Linked DNA regions of Arabidopsis thaliana. The protein of the gene in region 2 interacts with the protein of the main gene of each other region in a pairwise test. Each region holds a gene or a part of one and is shown on either strand. Other genes may lie near its edges.

Region 1 (4,316 bases), on a different chromosome or scaffold from region 2:
TATATTAAAAAGGAAAAATGTCTTAATTAACAAAAACATTTTTTTGGTTTAAATAACAACTAGACAGTTCAAACGTGCAGCTGAGGCTGATAAAAAGGTAGGAATTCGTATTAAGTTTTCACCACTAAACCTACTAATTAAATGACATAACATTAGTGGACTATGTGGAATTTGAATCTTCTATAAGTATTTTTCATCTATATATTTTTAATGATTTACGTCAAGAAACATGTATGTGAAAACTCTTATGGATCATTAGTGTAAAGTTATTATGTTTGGACCATATATAAGAGAGATTATTTTCTTTTGTGAATTTTAAAGTTAATACTAAGTGTTAAATCTGGTTGTGCCATACAGGCCATTTTTAGTGGACTTATTGGGATAATGGATAGGACTCACATAGTTGTTTTTTATAAAGATAGGACTGATTGCAGCTGAGGCCATTTTTAATCCCATGGTGTTTGGAACTAATGAGTTTTTATTTACTTGTTACATTTGTATATTAAAGTTTGAAGAAAATAAATAAATCATCTTTCAGCATGTGCAATTCGAATAATTTTTCTAACTAACGAAAATATCAACTCAAGAAAAAATGTATAAATCCTGGATAAAAGTTTTACAAAAAAATATTATAACCCATCAAAATAACATTACATGTTTTTTTGCACATGACTTGCAAATACTTTGAGATAGCTCTTAGGAACAACCTTTATTTAAACCAATCCATTTTCAGTAGAGATTATTCTCTTCCTTGCTTTCTCAGCCTGCAAATAATAGAGTCCAGTTACTTCAGAGCATTCAAAAAACTAGAATGTAACAAACTCTAACCTGTTCCTTCCAGTTCATGGAGGCTGTGACGATAGCCAGTAAAGTGGCTTGCACCGCGGATCCAACCATAACACCGCACCAGAGTCCTTTTCCATTCCACTCACGACTGAAAGCTAAGTAAACTCCAACAGGAGCTCCTACAAGATAATAAGCCACCACGTTGATCAAAGCTCCAATGTGTTGCCACCCACATCCCCTAGCCACTCCATTTAGAACTGCCGTTAATCCGTCGAGGATGAAGGAGAGACAGAGCAAAGGAGATATGTCAGCAACATAGTCAACAACTTCTTTGCTGTTGCTGAATGTGTAGCCTATGATGTTTCGGCAGGTGAAGAGAAGTGTGCTAAAGAAAGCTGACTCTACAAGCCAGAGACAAAGCCCTGCCAATACGGAAACCCTAGCAACTTGAGGATTTCCAGCTCCCAATTTGTTTGACACTCGTGTGCTTCAAGAAACCAAATGACTAATGTTGAGAAAGGAATTGTTGAACACTTGTTCTGGTTTGAGAGTTGAGATCATACCTCACAGCCGCCGCGACTCCAGATGGAATCACATAGTGTAAAGTTCCTATTGTAAGACTGATAACATGAAAGACATAAGATTAATACATTTTGGTAAAGAGAACACATAGGATAAAAAGAAGTAATATGATACTTACCAAATCGAAAGAACAGATGTCTCGAGTTTTGGGTTTGGGAGAAGACCTGAGCAGAGTATGAGTAGCTCAAACAGCCACCATTCTAAGCTATCAAAGAAGACAAAAAAATGCAAGCAAGATAAGAGGAAGCATCGGTGTATTGTAACTTAACCAACAAGACACGTGAAAATGGTTTACTTACCAAATCAATCCAGCGGATGGGACTCCGTACTGGAAGTACTGCTTGATACTAGACATAAAATCATTTGATACAAATCCGCGAGTCTTCTCGCAAGAGCTGAAAAATCTCACATGACATGAGAGTATCACAGCGTAAAACCAGAAAGACAAACTAATAGCAATAGCAGCTCCATTGCTTCCAAGACCAAGCGCGAAAACCAAAGTCCAGCAAACCGCAATATGGAACAAAAGGGTGGTCATGGCAGAGTATAGCAGGGAAATAACCAACCCTTGTGCTAGCAGAAACCGAGTCAGTGGTAAGAAAATAGCATGGGCAAACAAAGCCGGTACGAGCCACAATGAGTAGGAGCCAGCGACTCTAGAGATGTCAGGCTCTTGCCCGAGAGTGATCAAGAGCTTTTCGATGTAAATCCATAGAATTGATATGATGAAACAAATTGGTATGTTGGAAGCCATTGCAGAGTATGTATAGGTTCCGATTTTTTCGTATTGTTCTGCTCCATAGGCTTGGCCACAAAGAGTTTCCAATGCACCAACTAACCCAAACTACACAAAAAAGAATGCAGCAATATTTCAATATTGGAAAGTTAATTGAGTTCTTGAAATGAAGAGGAGAGAGTAATAGCATAATTACCATTATGCTGAAGCCGGAAACGTTTGTGAAAGACGTGGCAAGCGCGACACCGGCGAGCTCCAACTCGCCGATGTGGCCGGCGACCATGACTGAGATGACAGGCAATAAGTACTGAGCTATGGTTACGGTGGCCATAGGAGCGGCCAAGCGGCTCACTTTCTTCAGCTCGACGGTGACCTGACCACTTTGCCATGTGGATTTACAAGAGACTAACTGCTCGTCTCTCGGAAGAAATGGCTCTTCCATTGTCGTCTTCTTAATCTTGATTGATTTGCCTCTGATTTTTTAGATCATATCCAATCTTGTACTGATGGACGAAACCAATGTAATTTATTGTCAATGAAGACTTTTCGTCAATATCTAAATATATATATAACTCTGCTCGACCAGTGAAAACATTTTTTTCTCATGTTAAGATATGCATATGAAAGTATTATTGTTACTACCAAATTTTAGACCCGTAATTGACTGTGGGACAAATAGTTTTCTCTCTTCAATGTGTGTCACAGAAAAAAATGTTATTCTATTTATTAAGGTAAAAACAGATATGATATGATGTACCCATAATAATAAATGCTCCATATAAATTATATTATTAAGAGGGTCCATATAAATTATATTTATTAAACACATATATCATGTGCATGAATTGGTTTCTGATTTTTGTAGACGTGGTGGCCTTGTTGTTTCGATTTTTCAAAAAGTTAATTATTGCCGACAATAGTGAATAGTTTTTTTTTCCTTGTTTGATATAATGTTATGAATATGATCCAATTCCGGTTTAATGTTGGTCTGATGACATTCGGTTTAACAGCAGATTGGAGTTGGTTATTGAAACGGTTCGCTTTGGTTTACAGAAGAAGGAAGTTATGATTGGAAGACTCTCATTCTGAAAGAGGCTTCGATGCTCGAAGTCAAACACATATAAATAGAAGTCTGTTATCTTCTTCTTCTTCATTCCGTTAGAAAGTTGTTACGATCTCTCTTAAACCCAGAAAATTAGGGTTCTTCATTGATCTTGTATTGAGCTCAGAGAAGTTTGTAAACATCTCATATAGTGGATTGCCGGATCTATCTGGCTCCAGACGTAGATCTAATCACACAGATTAGATTGAACTGGGTAACAAATTCTTGTGTGTTGTTCTCTGTTTCTTCTTTGATTCACACAAACAAACTTCGAGTTGAGAGATTGAGAGCTGATAAGTGAGGTTCGCGTTCGTATTGGGATCGGTTCTATAACATTTAGCGAAATGAAATTGGAACACCTTGATTAGAAATAAAATTATAAGATTAAAATAAATTGTATTTTGGTATAAAATTTTGAAAAATCAAGTAAAACAAAAAATTAAATTTCTAAATACTTATTTCAGAAATATATCTACTAGATATTTTATTTGCTTTTTTGTACAAATATTCTTTCACATATATTTATTTTCAATTAATTAATAGATTCATTACTTTAGTTAATAATTTTTAATTATTTAAACTGTTCTTACATTTAATTGCCCTTTAATTTATAGGTAAATTTTTTTATTGGTTTCCTTCTCACTAAATGACTTCAAGTTCTTAGCCACTATATGAGATTTTATTTGTTGACTTACTCATTATTTGATTTCTTAGAAAACTTGAAAAAATATGAATCACACCATTTCTTTTCTATATGAAAAAATATAACCAGAATATGTATTTTTTTTTTTATAAAACTATTTCACATCTAGAAGTTTATTAAGAAAGTATTGAAAAATTATATAATTTAAGAAAATTATTTACTAAAATTTAAATATAGTATAGAACACATTGTCATTAAAATAAATTAAATAATAGAAACAAATAGATATGAGGTTCAATGTATAAATTTATGTTTGAAAAATTTATATTTTGCAGTATTACTTATCATGAAATAACCTCAAAAAATATATTTCAAAAACATACTATATTGTCTAATGTCTATTGTGTGAGTCAAATCTGCACATATAAACCGGCAAGCTTAATTAAGGGAAGTAGTGTCGCGGAAAT
Region 2 (4,341 bases):
GCAATATCTACTGCATTTTCTTCCCATACTCAAAAAACATTGAACCTCCTCATCATGCTTTAGTACTCAAAGAAGCTCCTCATGTTTCGTCACCTTCATTTGCACTTCTTCTCGGAAGGCTTTCTGTGTCAGGAACAAGAAAAGTATTGTCTTGTTTTATTTTTGTATTTATGAAAAGTATAAAAGTGAATGATCACTCGGAGTTAATTCTTACAAGTAATTTATGGTGCAGATGATGAACATAACTTCGGAGGTTAGCAACGTCATCATATCCATACTTGAAAACTCCGGTAATCTACTTGTATATTCAAATATATCTATTTACGCTTTTGTGAATTCGTGTTTATTAGAAAATTATGCCTAGGTGATAGCTATTTAAAATGATGGATACTATTTCAGATGTTCAAATTCACTGGCGCAAAAAAGATTACTTATCGATGAGCTTGTTGGATGATTTTGGTATTGCAGAGACTACGGTGAGTGAATTCCTTACTTGAAAAGTTGAAACCTTGCTTGTGAAGTAGTTAAGGTAACGCATATATATATATATACCGTTGTTTATGACCAGGTTAAGGAACATAGCGTAAACGATCAAATAATTGTCACACTCTCAGCAGATCATCGCGTAAGAATGATTATCCGTTATGAAATGGATGAATCGCATATACCAATGATCAAAAACTTGGTGATCCGCGCTTTCTTCATTGGATCCCAATAATCATCAATATAATAATGTCTGTTATAATTATTAAAGCCGCTGATAGGGCTAATATAAAGGAAAAAGACACGACCAATTCAGATGAGTATCACTCCATTGACTTGAAAACGAGTATCTGTGCCATTAAAAAATTGACATTTGAATTAGAAAAAATAATAGACGAATCAAGTGTAAGGGACTAAGGATGGTCGCATCATTGTTACTTGTTAGCAGCATAGTAATAAAAAATTTTATAAAAAAGATAGTTTTGTTAATTAATTTCCATTTTGACTATCCATGGAACTTTTACTAATTATATATAGCAGATCATGAATATCTTCACCAGGAAAAAAAATTAAAAATTAAAAAAAGACTCGGATCTAGTACATTTTTTTTTTGGTAAGCTTTGAAAAGAGTAAATCGAAAGACTTTTTAGACTAGTAAATCAGTAATAACAAACAGCTTTATCATTATTCGAATTCAACATCAACAGATAATTAAGGCGAGAAGTTGTCATCACAACCTCCATTGCAATCGACTTTACCCTTCTCCTTATTGCTCAACAAAAACACGAAGTCGAGGTTATAAAGAACAGGGATTATCAAAGCAGAGCTCAAGAACACAAGCACAGGCCCAAAGATCCATAGCATCAAAGGCAAGCCCATGTAGAACAGCCTATTACCTACCGTATTGAGCAAGAAAGCTTTCTCGAGTAGTTCAGAGACATACTCGGGAGTCACAAAGCTTCCTATTTCGCCGAAATCATCAGAAAAAGGTTCTTGAGGAGCGTTAATAAGGATGTTGACTTGGTTGATGAAGCGAATGGAGAGAGAATGAGAGAAGAAGGCGAAGAGGAAGATTGTGAGGATGGTTACGTATTTGAGTGCAACAGTGAAGTCACCATGAGCTCCATATACGGCGTCGTTTAAAGGTTTCTTGATGCTATAAGTACTGCTTAAAACGGCAGCGAGACCTGCGCAGAGGAGGATGCAAGTGGTTGCCATTAACGTCCCTCCCATTATCGTGTTTCGTAGTGTTTGTACCGCTAAGATGTTCTTCTTCTCGTTGTCCTGAACAAAGACACAGTATATTGTTACTATTTGAGAAGTAATTCTATGTATATACTGTGTACATATATATGAAGAAAGTTAATGATGTATACATAGAGATATTATGACATTGTATGGATTTATAGTCTCTTATTGGCCAAATATGCATGCAAATTTATTTATTTTGTATTCATACGGACTTAATAAAATTTTGGGCCGACACCTATACTAAGTTTTTGCATAAGCAATTTTCATAGAAAAATTGCAGTTAGTAAACATTATGGTATATATGTTCAATGAAGCTAATTACTTTCGCTAATATGATGATTAATTAGTAATTACTACTTACTAGTTACTACAATCACTTAACACAAGATTTTTGAAAGATTATTTCGGGATATATATCGTTTTTGAGTAATATAACTACCTTCATGATGGCTGCTACCCAAGATCGACGGGCGCGGGAATTTGTACCAACAATGGTGCAGAAAGGATCGGTTCGAACCTTATACCACAAATAGATGTGGTAACCAAACATCATAAGTAAAGCACTTGGCACAAGAACCGCATCTAAGTACCATTTCTCCCACTCCATTTGATCTCTCCTTTTCTATGTATATAATCTTCTCTTTCTTTCTTGTTCTCGTTATCTCCAAAGCTCTCTAAGAATGTTTTTGTTATTTTTATGGCCCTTGTCCCCATATATTTATACTGAAACTCCTTTTGCTATTTACAATCTTTGTTCCGCAATTTGCCCCTTAGAATTTCATATAAATTCTTTTTGGTTGGTTTTCACTAATTTCATATAAATTAAATCTTAATGCTTTTCGTTTCTCCTTTAAATCTCTCTTTATGACTTATTAGTGTTCACTTCTGTACCCCACTTTGTGAGATAATTTAGAATTTACATTTCGACCCCATATTTATTTAGTTACTAAACATTTGGCCGTAATTTAAATTAAGGTTAATGACCACTTGTCCCCTTTTAGACACATTTTTTTGAATTTTGTCCCACATTGCCTGTATATTCGTACATGTGATATCTAATTGTCCGTATATGTAGATAAAGGAGACAAGACTTAGATTAGATGGTTTTGGAACATGTCACAGAGATGATAACAGAATATAACGTTTGTTTTTTGGTAAAAGGTGAAATTAAGAAATATAACGTTTGTTGTAGACGATGATGCTATGTACACATGTTACACTATGACCTAACTTATCTCCACGTCATTACGTTACTAGTCTTCTTCAGTCTAGTGCATTTCTTATTTTCTTTTATTTTTTGGCATACAAAAAGACATCCCAAGTCGAAAATGTTCATCGCTGAATATCAAACATCAATTTTCGTATTTATTGCTCACTGATGATTTTACATCGACTATGGTTTTAATCATGATCATCTAAAGGAAACGGGTTTACTCGAGCATAAAATTTGGTCATTTCTCCTTAGGATCCTAGATCTCGATCGATCGTGGAATAGGTGCACTAATATTTTTTTAATAAAACTAATGACAAAAATGATTAAATGAAAGAAATTAAAGTAACTTTTAAAGTTTCTTGAACATGAGTCAGACCCAATTGGCTAAAGGTTGGTTCATTTCTTGTAGTTAAAGAAAAATCGTGCTTGTTGAGATTAAACACCCTTTGTCCTTTCTACATATACGACTACTTTTATACCTTTTGCTCACACTATTTTTATGAAGATAACATAATATACATTAAATATCTACGGACTCTACAAATAGAGATGCGTTAACATGCAAATTCTCTATAAAATATGTGCATGCTTTATACCAAACACATAATAGTTATAAATATGTTGAGCTGAGAGATATGGACAAAACCACTTGAGTTTCAGGTTTAGCCTTAAAAGGTTTTAAAAACCAAGGAGCCGTAACGAAGTGTCTAAAAACCCTATCTGATTTTTGAATAAGACAGATCAAAAACGTAGTTGGAAGCGTAATTAATTAGAAACCGATTGTAAATTTGAATCTCTAAGAGTTCAATTCAACATCTATGTATACATGCAGTTTATTCGAGTTTGGTCTAGTGATTTTATTTGGGCTGCGGAAAACTTTTGCCAAAATACGCATCACAATTTATAAAACATGTGCATGCTTATTCGAATAAAGAAAGTAACCTACATGACCCCCAAAAATTCAGGGAATGTTCCAATAAATCTTGATGATTCTTCTTGATAAAATTGTAGTATATTTTAGTACTAGAAAACTAGGCACCCATTTTTAAAACCTGGCCAGAATAGATGCTCATGGATAGCTAGGCCTACTCATGGAGAAACAAATTATAAGATTGTGGAATAGTAGTATTGAACTATCTTGTAATTTTCCATGTGATAAAATACCTAACTGTATTTCTAAATGGGTGTAGTTTTTGTGATTCATGCATGAATCGACTTATCTATCGGATGCTTATAGTATATATATTCCGCACGCTATATCTGACGTTTTACTTTTAAAGTTATACAACTCTATTTAATAATCCACCAAGTACATACATTCCTTAAACCAGAATATATATATGTACATACAATTCATCATTTCATTTGTTTTGTTTTTAATTAAGACTCTCAGA

The links. The genes of interacting proteins can lie anywhere in the genome.
Region 1: the proteins of AT5G10580 (region 2) and AT2G04080 interact in a protein complementation assay, tested with the Arabidopsis thaliana proteins (one large-scale study listed by BioGRID).

Annotation. Positions count from the first base shown.
Region 1 is NC_003071.7:1,356,614-1,360,929, forward strand, and holds AT2G04080 (MATE efflux family protein), read right to left. Parts: upstream 2,791-4,316; 5' UTR 2,547-2,790; coding exon 2,301-2,546; intron 2,213-2,300; coding exon 1,668-2,212; intron 1,574-1,667; coding exon 1,487-1,573; intron 1,407-1,486; coding exon 1,350-1,406; intron 1,274-1,349; coding exon 829-1,273; coding exon of another isoform or gene 799-828; exon of another isoform or gene 765-798; coding exon 714-764; 3' UTR 543-713; downstream 1-542.
Region 2 is NC_003076.8:3,345,511-3,349,851, reverse strand, and holds AT5G10580 (plant/protein (Protein of unknown function, DUF599)), read right to left. Parts: upstream 2,472-4,341; 5' UTR 2,342-2,471; coding exon 2,174-2,341; intron 1,768-2,173; coding exon 1,221-1,767; coding exon of another isoform or gene 1,195-1,220; exon of another isoform or gene 834-1,194; coding exon 796-833; 3' UTR 719-795; coding exon of another isoform or gene 569-718; 3' UTR 554-568; downstream 1-553. Other genes in the region: AT5G10590 (uncharacterized protein), read left to right, coding at 384-476, 569-718.